Linked DNA regions of Caenorhabditis elegans. The protein of the gene in region 2 interacts with the protein of the main gene of each other region in a pairwise test. Each region holds a gene or a part of one and is shown on either strand. Other genes may lie near its edges. The genes, in order: atx-2 and gdi-1.

Evidence for each region.
Region 1: the proteins of gdi-1 (region 2) and atx-2 come close enough for resonance energy transfer, tested with the Caenorhabditis elegans proteins (one study listed by BioGRID).

The regions. Positions count from the first base shown.
Region 1 is NC_003281.10:10,459,675-10,467,477, reverse strand, and holds atx-2 (Sm domain-containing protein), read right to left. Parts: upstream 6,090-7,803; coding exon 5,754-6,089; intron 5,706-5,753; coding exon 5,414-5,705; intron 5,291-5,413; coding exon 5,029-5,290; intron 4,710-5,028; coding exon 4,536-4,709; intron 4,482-4,535; coding exon 4,246-4,481; intron 3,023-4,245; coding exon 2,663-3,022; intron 2,610-2,662; coding exon 2,388-2,609; intron 2,153-2,387; coding exon 1,743-2,152; intron 1,606-1,742; coding exon 1,291-1,605; intron 1,184-1,290; coding exon 892-1,183; intron 437-891; coding exon 224-436; intron 175-223; coding exon of another isoform or gene 167-174; coding exon 66-166; downstream 1-65. Other genes in the region: ecps-1 (Proteasome component Ecm29 N-terminal domain-containing protein), read left to right, coding at 6,928-7,000, 7,049-7,170, 7,229-7,339, 7,394-7,518, 7,565-7,708.
Region 2 is NC_003282.8:14,790,342-14,794,698, forward strand, and holds gdi-1 (Rab GDP dissociation inhibitor), read right to left. Parts: upstream 2,510-4,357; coding exon 1,471-2,509; intron 1,195-1,470; coding exon 941-1,194; intron 884-940; coding exon 797-883; downstream 1-796. Other genes in the region: melo-1 (RRM domain-containing protein), read left to right, coding at 1-94, 149-322; coq-3 (Ubiquinone biosynthesis O-methyltransferase, mitochondrial), read right to left, coding at 2,869-3,066, 3,119-3,279.

The DNA.
Region 1 (7,803 bases), on a different chromosome or scaffold from region 2:
AATATATATTGGGGAAACATTATATAAAGCACTGAAAAGCGCAGGAAGAGCGCATATAGATATGATTACGGGGGGCTCTGAGAGTGCTGCTGATCACGTGGTGTGCCTTGTTGAGACGGTGGTGGCGGTGGTGGTGGACCAGATTGTTGACCAGATGGATTTACACCTTCAAAGCTTCATAAACGGTTAGAAATTTGAACTTTATAAACATTTAAAACATTACCTTGATTGCCTTGGAACTGCTGTGGAAGCGAATTCTGGCGGTGCATTTGTTGCTGTTGCTGTTGTTGTTGTTGCTGATAGTTTGGCATTGTACGGTAGTCAAAGTATCCCGACGTCGGGAATCCTTGATCAGATCGCTCGCCCATAAGACTTTGTTGAGGATGTTGGTTCTGTTGCATTGGCATCTGTTGGGGCATTATCATCGGATAGAATACTTGCTGAAAATGATTGAAAATTAGATTTACGTTTTTTTCTCGGTTTTGTTCTTTTATAGAGTGTGAGACATTTTCAAATATTTCTCAAAAAATGGTAATTTTAAATAAAATCTCAAAATTCAATTCAAAAAAAAAATCTATCCAGAAAAATTGCCGAAATAGGAGATCTCAGCTAAAATTTGCCAATTTTTCGTTGATTTGGGCACATTCAAGTTCTACAGTCGGAATCGAAACTTTCTCGCTATTTTTAAGAAAAAAAGTATGAAAAAAAACATTAGGCAATTTTTTCTCCTTTTTCACTGGGCGATTTCAGCTGTAGAACTTGCAGATCTACAAAAATTTAGCAGAGTCAATCACAATTTTGTTCTGAAACTTCTGAAAGAAAGGAAAAAAAACAAGAAAACCAAAAATCAAAAATACCACTGAAAAAAGGAAAGAAAGAGAGAGATTAAACATGCCTGAGGCTGCTGATAGTAATTAGGGATCTGCGGATGCATTTGATGCGGTCCCTGCATCACCATATACTGTTGAATGTGTTGCTGCTGCTGCTGCATCATCTGTGGTGGTGGTGCTCCGACGTGTGGAGGAGCATGATGTGGTGGATGTTGTTGTTGCTGATGCTGCTGCTGTGGTGGTGGTGGTGGAGGAACAGCACCTGGTGGAGATCCGCTTCGTTGTCCCGACTGAGAGCTCGTCGATCCGCTGTGACTAGCGTTGCTGCTCGACTCGGCCTGCATGTTTCCGTTCTGAAAATAGAGTCACGGTCACAATATTGAAAAGCTTCATCTTATTAGGCACAGAAAGTTTGAAAGAGGGAAACATGCGAATAAGTTTAAAAAAAAAGAAATCTCACCTGTGGAGCACCGCTCATCTTTGGCAACTCGCCACGTGGTCCCGGAGTCGTTGGCTGACTATTCGGATGTGATTGTGGGCGACTTTGCTCTCCGGAGAATTGTTGTTGCTGCGGTTGTTGCTGTTGCTGTTGCTGTGGTGGTGGAGGACCCTGGTATCTCGGCTGCTGCTGCTGACCCTGTGGAGGCATCATGTACACTTGTGGCTGCTGATATCTCTGTTGATAGGCACCCTGTGGAGCTTGCTGTGGCATCATCTTCATTTGGTATGGAGCAGCTTGCTGCATCTGGCCTTGGTACTGTGAATGATAGAATTGCTGAAAAAATTTAGAATTTTTGGAATTGAGAAATCAGGAATTTTAGATTAGGAAAAGTTTAAAATTCTAAAAATTCAAGGCCTTTAAAAATAAATGTTTTCCCTATTTCTACAGGGATATTCCAAATTTTCGGTTACCTGAGATGTGACTGGAACCATTTGTGGCGGTCCATATGGCATGTAGAGTGGCTGCTTCTCACGATACTCTCCATCTCTCAACTGATGATTCTGACCACCAGCCGCACTGGTTGGCACCTGATGCTGCTGATTTGGCTGCTGAGCAACAGTGACCGGAGTCGCAGCTCCCGGGCCATACATCTGTCCAGGAACACCTTGCATTGGGACATGTTGAATTGGGAATTGATGATTCTGTGGATAGCCGCCACCGCCTTGTTGCTGTTGTCCAGTCTGTTGCCACATCATCATCGGTGGTTGACCTTGATTTTGTGGGCCGCCCATGTGTGGTGGAACCATTCCCATTCCAGGAGCAGGTGGTCCTTGTTGTGGAGCCATCATTGCTGGATGTGGCTGTTGTTGTGGATGATATTCTGAAAATTTTAGAGTTAAAACTCCGTCTTGGCAGCCAAAATTTTTGTATCAAAAATTGATACCTATGTGTATTTAGAAAAATATTTATTTTGGTTTAAAAATTCCCTCTCAAATGACACAATTTGAGATCTTTCTCAAACCTTTCAACAAAAATTATCTTTTTTCTACATACATTTCTGTATTAATTTTTGATACAAAAATACTGAAAAAAAGCCGTTTTGTTCGTTTTCCTACCATTTTGCACTGGAGTCGTCGCTGTTGGAGTCGCCGGAGCCACACGTGGCTTGAACTCTGGAGCATTGATGTTGAATTTGAACGACGATGACTTCGAAGTGATCACTGAATCATTCTCTGAAGTAACGGAAACATTGTCGTCTTCCTGATGCTTTTCCGCGTCGTTCTGTACGTTTTGCACTGGTGCAGCTGCCACATCGACGCTTGTGGATGGAGCTTCTTCTGGAAATTGGCAAAATTGTTCATTTTTGTTGAGAAAAATAGAAAATAGATACCTTTTTTAGTCTCAGCCTCCTCTCCATTGGTTGTCGGTGGTGGAGTCGACTCATTTGATGATCCCTTGGCAACCAGCGAGCTCGGTGGTCCGCGATTCCAGGCACTACCCGAGTTTCCAGCTGGCACCGCCGGAGCCTGATCCTTTGGAGCCGTCGCAATCGAAAACTCGTTGCCCCAGTTCTTGAGATCTGTCACACGGGATCCACCGGCAGCAGCAGTGGCAGTGGTGGCAGATTGAGCTTTATCGTCAGCCGGCTTCACATTGTTGTTGGGTCTCGGATCCAGCATCTGCTTCTGCTGTTGACGGAACGAGTGGTCGTGGCCCTGGTTCTGGCCCTTCCCCTTGGCCATCTGCCAGTCTGAAAATTAAGTAGAATGAGTCATTGTTTAAACAAAAACGACGGAAATTGTTTTCTAAGGAATCAAAAATCGAATTTTTACCAAAAATACGTTACCCGGTCTCGGCACGACAAGCTTGTTTAATGCAAAAGGGTGGGCGCCTTGAAAAAATATTTCAAACTCTTGTTGCTGTGGAATATTCATATGAAACTATGAAAAAACAGAAATTTCGCAGCAAAAAGAGTTTGAAAATACAGTACTCTTTAAAGGTGCATACCATTAAACACAAATATGTCGTGTCGAGACCGGTTACAGTATTTTAACGCTATACCAAAATGCTCTTGATCTGATTCTGACAGATTTTCAAGAGGAATTTAAATCAAGATTTCTTTTAAAAGACACTAAAAACTTCGAAAACTGTGGAATTTCCATTATCTAGAAGGATCTGAGGACTGGTGAAGCTGCAAAGGAGGCAAAAAAGGTATGAACGATCGCATGTTTCATCATCATTCAGACACACACACAACAACAAAAAATCACCGAGAAAAAAGAGAGCGGAAAGGAATGAGAGAGAGAGAGAAAGTGTGGCGCCTCCCTAACGATCGATTGGTACACAACATAGACAACACGGTTTTTCGAGAAGAACACAACCAACTTGTGATGATGATGATGAAGATGATAAGCGGTGAGGAAGCGGACAGAGAGAGAGAGGTAGACAGAGGTAGAGAGAGAGACTTGATGAAAGCATGTATCAGAGACGCAGGTGTGTTTGTATGGATAAACTGGGACCCGTTCGGTCATTTTTTCAATTTTTTTTTTCGGCGTTTTCACTTAAAAATCGGCATTTACTTGTTTTTTCTGACACAAAGAAAACGTTTTTCAGTCAAAAATCGGAAAAAAAAACGATTTTTCCACTGAAAATAACACTATTGCAGAATTATTTCGTATTTCTGTGATCAAAATGTGAGGAAAGAATGAAAAATTGGTTTTCTGATGGGAAAAATCTGATTTTTTTGCTGAAAATTTGCAAAAAAAAAATCGCTTTTTTCCGCATCCCACGAGGAAAAACACTCCAATTAATCAGCTGAAGACAACCGCTGCAGCCGCTAGCGAAATTATGTCATGCGAAATGGGTCAAGAAAACGGAATACACCGAAAAAAGAACTGTTGGACGCGGAGAAAGAGAACGAGAGAGAGATAATGATCAAAGAGACACACTGTACTCTCGGGAATGTACACGAACCATTTTCCTCGTTCTGGCGGCGATAACCTTTTTGACCTTGCTGCTGCTGCTGATTCTGTGAATAGTTCTGCTGAGCCGCTGCTGGAGCACCGTAGCGACTATTGTTCGCTGAAGAGCTTCCACTATTACGACGATCTCCGCGAAGACCCTCGGCACGTCGATTCACTGGCTGCCCGTTTGGTGCAATATTCGGATTGCGGCGCTGTTGTTGTTGCTGGTTGAAGCTGTTATTATTGCTGAAACAAATAAATTTTTAAATTAATAAATTCAAATTTTTAAAGAATTCCAACCGCTTTCGGCCATTGCCATTCTCGAAATCCTCTTGACGCGTGATTTTGTCCAAATCTCGCTCGTCGTCGTCGTTCTCCAAGTTCGCCATAAACTTCGACGACGAGTTGGACTCAATTTCTCTAGCGAGCCGCTCGGCGCGTGCTCGATCTTCGTCGGTTCCTACCACTTCGACGCTGAAATTTGGGATTTTATTGCTTTGCACGATGTTTTCCAAAATTAAAATTAAAAAATCGGGTCAAAATATAGGAAAGCACTTGATCCATCAGAGAATAACACTGATTTCGGTAGAAATATTCGAAAAAATGCTTAAAAATAACCTGAAAATTGTCAATTATCAACTTTCAGGACATTTTTATGCAAAATTTTGCAAAAATGGTTCAGTGACAAGATTTTTTCAAGGCAAAACTGAAAAAAATAGATTCAGATGCCCAAAAACGCTTGCAGACTCCGAAAATCCTGGATTTTTCAAGCGAAAAAATTCAAATAAATTACGTTGTGTATTGCGTTAAATCCTCTTTGAACGTCGACACCACGTTCATCTTCTCGTTGGCGGCGAACATGTCGTTGACCGACCATCCGGTGCCGTTGTTGTGATTGTTGCTGCGACGAGCGGCGGTTTGTCCACCAGCAACGACGACGTCGTCCTCAATGGATCCTCCGAGTCCGTCCTCCTCACCTCCGTTCCATTCCTGAAGCTCTTCGCCCTCGATTGGAGTATCTCCGTGGTATTGTCTATCGGTGACGAATTTGCTGACTGAAAATGGAGAGTTTTTCAGCTTTTTCGGATTAAAAATCGTAACTGTGAACCCGACTTGGCCCAAAATTAAAGATGTCATGCATTTTTTTTAATGAAAAAGTTCCCTGAAACAGCTCTTACCAGCATGCTGCTTCTTGATCTCTTGCGTAACGTACGCAAAATCGACAATATCACTATAGTGAAATACCATCTTGTCTCTGCATTCCGACTCTGTTCTCAGCAAGTTATTCTCGTTCTCCTTCGTAATTTCCACGACGCACTGCATCCCGAAATCGAAATCCTGAGACACGGCGCCCAGCACCCCAGAATATCGCTTTTTGTCCGTAGTATTAATGATAATTACACGTCCGATCATATCATTGATGGCGCTCAACACATCGCCATTTAGCGCAGGAAGACCCGTTGGTGTTGACTGGAAAAATTGTATTTTTAAAGAAATTTTCAAGTTGCCAGCGCTTACCATTTCTTTCATTCGCACTTTGGATGCAAATAAAATATAAATAAATAGAAGATTGTCTGTGGAGCAGTCAAAGAGTTTGGGTACAGGAGAAATGTACCTGAAAATGGAAAAAATTTGAATTTTAAAAACAGCAATTTCGCAACGATAATGGAAGTTTAATATGAGTAACAGTTTTGGGCAAATTTTTGAAATTTCCAACACAATCCCGTTTTTCAAGGTTTCACCACGTGCAAAACGAGCCACAAGAAGAAAATTATCCACAAAATTCGCGGAAAAATTTGAAAAACGTTCGAGAGAGAGACGAGAGAGCACGCAGACAGCGGAGGACACGCACATGCGGTAAATGACGCGCCGATTTCCGTCGGGATTGCCTGAGACTCCGCCCTATGCAAGTGCGCCGCACAGGGTTTCGCAAGTGTGCCGCGCGCATTTTACACAGTGGGGTTTTCAGGAAAGTCGATATAGTGGGAATTAGTGGATTTTTTCCAAGGAAAGTGGTAAAACATGAACATTTCGCCTCAACAGTTGAGTTTTTGGGCAATGAATAAAAGCATTTTCCCCAAATCAAAAAGTTTATCCGCAATTTATTGAATTAGGTCTGACAAAATTCAGATTTTGTTCTTAAAAGAAAGATAGGACATTTCTTCATAGGAGCACACACTTTTTTCATTTGACAAAAAATTATCTTGCCGGGTACCACATTTCTCGTGCAAAATTTCGCGATTGGGAAATATTTATCTGTTTGACACCACAGATTTTGGGGAAACTCCCACTCGGAGAAATTCTTTCCCTGCGCTATCTTCCAATACACTTTGTCGATAATACAATTTGAAATAAACAAAACTAATTCTCAATTTAAAATTTATCGCTCATCAAAAATATTTAAAAATTTCCCCTGTTTTTCGGTCTTTTTTTCAAGACTCAAATTTCTGTAGAGAAAGGTTCTGTGACGTCTCTTGTCAAGTTCGCCCCATTGACACGATGAAGAGAGACGCAGACTGAAAATAAAAATATTTTTGATGACATTTTGGAATAAATTCAAGAACATTTTACTTTTTGCGGAAAAACCGAGTTTCTCGTATTGTTTTGAACAATTTTTAGCAATTTCAGTGTAATTTCTTCATTTTTCGACGTTAATTTCTTCGTAAAACGCTAAATATTTAGTATTTTCAGCATGGAAAGCCCAATGGAAGTCGATGCTCCCAGAGAATCAGCTTCGCTGACGTCTCTCGACTCAGCAAATGATGGTAAGCTAGTCTAGCTTCTAATTTACATAATGAACTTGAAATTTTCAGTGGAAAGAGTCTTCCTGCGGCTCGTCAACGCCAACTCGGACGCCAAGCTACAAACTATCACAGATCGGCACTTGTGCGATGTGTTGGAGTTTGCCGGGAGAAAGCAGGAGCACATTCAGCTGGTAAGACGCAAAAATTCGCTGAAATTTGATTCAAAATGACTAAAATTCGTGATTCCAGGTCACCGAATTTCTCACACACTTCAACAAAGTCGTCAAGAGCAATTTGGCGATCCGTCTCCCAGTGCCACGTCTGCTCGAACTTTTCCAAGGCCCGAGTGCCATTTCATCGGTTTGTAGCGTTCTCCAGACGATGTATAACCCAAAAAATTAATATTTTTTCCAGAATTTCAGTCTGATCTATCTCAAAATGGCAAAAGACCGGATCCAGGCCGCCGAGCAGCTAGAGTTTCTGCCTGTATACTTGACATCGTTCAGCAAGAAGCCCAATGATCTCAATTACATTTACGAGTAAGTAAAGTAGAACTATTTATATTTTCTATATAATTTTTTCCAGCATTCTCTCGTTGTGCCTGCCGGGACTCCACGAGCTCGCGAGAATCGAGAAAAAACACTGGCCGACGATCGAGATGAGCTCTGTCGACGTGGAAATCATTGCCAGATGCTTTCAGGCGATTCTCGTGTTCTCTGCACGAAGCATGTACGTAATTTCAGTTTTCAGAAGCGAATTTCCTGGTTTTAATCTGAAACATGCCTAGCATTTTGTTAATTTTACAATATTTCATGCCGAAATCT
Region 2 (4,357 bases):
CGAGGAGAAGGCGATGGTGAGGGAGTTGAAGCTTGCGAAGCTCAACGATGAGCAAATGATGCGTTTCCATATTAAGAAGAAGCAACTCGAATCGGTAAGTTTTCAAGTTACTCATTGACTAATTTGAGTCAAATTTTCTATTTTTCAGGCTTTTCGCAACGATTGTGAAACATATGCGGTCGTCACACGTGCTCTTCTCGCTAAAGACGAGTCTCTACAATTCGGACTGAAAATGGCATTGCTCGAGAATATGGAGGATTTGTACAAAAAGATGATGCAACGTGTCGATGATCAGCTCGATGCTCTGCTTGTGATGGCTTAAACTGGGATTTTTTCTTTAATCAATTATGTAAAAACATATATGCTTATTCTTCTCCAATTTTCAAATGGAAATGATCTCCCTTCATCAAATGTAATCCCATCCTATCCAAACTTTCTGATCGTGATAATAATTGTATTTCTGTAATGAAGTACTTCAAAAGGATAAAGTGATTTATAGATTTACGAAGCGGACTTTGTTTGGGAATTGTAAAGTTAAATACAAAGGAAATAGTGGGAAGAAATTTTGTTTTCGGGACGAAAATTGAAATTTAAAAAAAGGGTTCTCGGGGAATCACATGAGGATAGAGACTGGAAAAGAGAAAATACAATAAATTAAAATCGGTTGAAAATGAACATTGGACAGGAGAAACAAACGGAACGGGAATCGTTTTTTTTATAGAGGCGACAAAAAAGAGCAAAAGCAGCATCAGAAGCGTCAAATCAGAGTACTCAAAAGAAGGGAATGGATATTCAATTATTCCTGATCATTCAACGACAAGTGAGTGATGTTGGTGAAGTCGAATTCTTTGGTCGTTCCACGTTCGAACATGTTGAGCACGTCCTGAAAAATGAATAATTATAATTTCTTTCAAAAATTGTTTTAAATTCTTTAAATTACCTTGCAAGTGGTTTCAAAGTGAGTCGTAGCATCATAAGATTGAGAGATGAAGATCTGTGACTCAGATCCCAAGTCAGATGGCTCATAAACATCGGAAATCTGAATGAACTTCTCGGCAATTGCGCCAAGAAGTTGAAGTCCTGGAAGAACTTCAGCCTCTGGATTGGCTGTCTCGACAGTGGTGGAGACCATTGCCAAATACCATCCCTTTGGTGTCACCATGTTCGTGTTGGAGCAGCATGAGATGTAGATGTCTGAAAAAAAGGGAATTAGTGATGCTGAAAGCGTGAGTTTTGCAAAAAGCAGCGAGTCGCACAGAAAAAGAGGCGGAGAGTAAATTGGCAAACCGGCGGCTCGGTTTTTCCTCCTTTTAATTTATTTTTCAATAAAGTTTCAATTTTACCTAATTCTCATAGGATCGTGAGACTATTTTAGTCTTCGGATAATTAAATTCGATAATATTTTCATTCAAACATTAACAAAAAAAGTAGGAAAAACCCGTGCCGCAAGATTGCAAAATTACGCCCTACCTCTTTTCTGTGCGACGCGCTGCTTTTCCAAGACTATAAATTTACCATAATGTCTTCCAACTTGCTTTTGTGGAATGATAATCTGGCAGGATTGAGCATCATTTGTATTTGGAATTGGATGGTTCAACAAACAAATGGCTCGGACAACTTGTCCAGTCTTCTTGACACGATCCTTGGCGTATGAGGGATCGCAGTAGATCTGCTTTCCACGGACAATCTCATCTCCACACTTGACTCCAATAGCCTTTCCATTCTCCATCACAATCTCGTCGACTGGCTTGTCGAGCATGTAGGTTCCTCCGTAGATGGCCGAGAGACGAGCGAATCCCTGTGGAAGTTCTCCCAATCCGTACAATGGGTACAAGTATGGTGACTTTCCATAACGAGCCAATGAGTCAGAGTACAATCGGATCTTCTCAACAGCTGGAGCGTATGGTTGATTCTTGTGCTCATCGTCACGGTAGAGGGCCAGCGCGTGTCCGGTGAAATCGGCGGTGTTCTCGTCAAGGCCAAACTTCTCGTAAACCTGCTGCATTGTGCTGTTGTGTGGGTCAAGTCCTTGCCAAGTGTCCTCCTTGTTCTCATCGAATTGTTGCACCCAGACGAGGAACTTCTTGAAGCGACGTTTCTCGAACATTCCCATAAGGGAAGTGGCAAGAGCCTCCATCTCATCGGCCGGCACCTTGTAGATCTTTCCACCCTTCACAACGAACGAGGCCTCAATCGACTTGAATTCCAAGTAGCGAGTGACTCCAGTATGGATGAGAAGCTTGACCAATGGCCCGTTGGCCATCAAAAACTTTGGAATCAAGTCGACGTTCCAGTCACGTCCACGTCCCATCTCCTGTTGTGGCTTGGCTTGTGGACCGTGGAATTTCTCGTAGAGTTGCTCAAGTGGAGTCAGTGAAGCTGACTCTCCTCCATAATAGTTGTTTCGGTCAATGTGGAGAACCTTCTTTCCGGAAACCGACAGCATTCCCGAGATGATGCACTCCTTGAGGCCGGTTCCGAGAACGATGGCATCGTATTCCTCATCCATTTCGAGCGAGTTTTTCGGGGAATTGGTTGGAACTCCTGAAAATTGATCGGATTGTGATTTGGAAAATTGCGGGGAAAGAGAAACTGAAAGAAAAGTTGAATTTCAAAAAGGAAATTTTAGAATTCAAGAAAATAATTATAAAAACTGAAGAAAGAGAGTGAGAGGGAGGGAGGGAGAGACGCAGAGAATAAAGTTGTTGAAAATCAGATATTTTGCGGGTAGATCAAACCCAATTGTTTGACATTTAAAAGAGTTAGGTCTCAAATTATTTTTTTTTTTGAAAATTAAAAAAAATAGCACCAGTAACATATGGAAACATGAAAAAAAAACTAGCAACACTAAACAAAAAATCTTCAAATCTAATTCTTCACTGCCAAAATTCCGTAATTACACTGAGTCGATTCGATCCATGTCCAGTGATTTCCAACCGGATGAAACATTAATCCATGCACCGCCGTCACCCGGCAACCCGCTTTTTCGAGATGTGAAGTGAGCTCGGCGGGTGTGATGAATTTTTCCCAGTCGTGGACTCCGGGCGGCACGATTTTGAGTACATTCTGAAAATTTTCAAATTTATTTCCAAAAAAAAAAGAAAGAAAAAAATCAAACCTCTGCAAGCCAAATAGCTGCCAATTTGCTCAGCCACGTTCTGTTGATAGTTGTGATGAAGAGCGGGGCACCGGGGCGAGCCAGCTCAGCGAGGCAGCCAATGAATCCGGGAAGATCGGCGACGTGTTCGACAATTTCCGAAGCGACGACTGCATCGTAGGCTGGAATTATTGAAGATTTTAAGGTAAATTGCTAAAAAATACAGAAAAGAATGGGGAAAAGATGTGTTGCGAAATATTTTTTAACTTTTGAGTAGATTGGAAGTAGAAATCAATAATTTTCGATTACTATTCAAGAGTACGTAGGAGTTTCACAGAACTTCATCAAGTCTACGCAAGAGTTTCATTTCATTTAAGACCTTTTCTGTGAAAGTTTTCAGTCAAGTGACTTCAAAATCGTAAACAACTCAAAAAATAGGTTATTCTAAATAATTTCACCAATTGATTCGTATAATCGCAGTAAACATAATAGTTGAAAAGATGACGTCAGCTGTCCTAGCGACACGTGGATCGAGCTTCAAATGGCCGAATCGCCGACATAGAATGACACGTGGCAACGACGAACACAGGGGCGCCCAGTTAGGGAATGTTTGTCATCAGAGACAGCAACAACCAGAGAGGGTCTACGAGATGATGCTGCTGCGTGTGAGTGTGAGTGAGAGTGAATTTGAGCGCTCATTCCCTTTCTCACTCACTCTCTCCGCGGTTAACCCCAAACGGGATGGCGGTCGAAATGAGCGTCCAAAATGGACTGAGAGAAGGGAGCGACGGCGAGAGACTGGAGAGATCAAATAACATCTGAGGACATCTGGGTTGGATCTAGTATTATTCAAGACTTCCGAACTGTAATAATATCCAGTTGAGACCTTCAAAATTGAAGTCTAGGACATCTAGAACTGAAAGTTCGAGAACCTACAAGCCATAGACGCAGACACAACCGGATGAGGGTGAGAACACGAGACGCAGAAATGTGGGGATTGTTGTGTTGGCCCACACATCGAAAAGGGGGGGGGGAGAGAGAGAGAGACACAACACCGAAGAAGAACAAAATCGATAAAATGTCCAAGAAGAGGAGAAGCCGGACGGGTGGAGGAGGAGAAGACGGCGAGCAAAATAGGGAAATAGAGAACAGAACAGAAGAGTTGAAAGCTTTGTATCCAAAATTATTCCAAGGGGGCACCGGAAATCGAATTGAATTGGGTTGGATCAACACTTTTTTCAACAAAAAAGAAAGGAAATT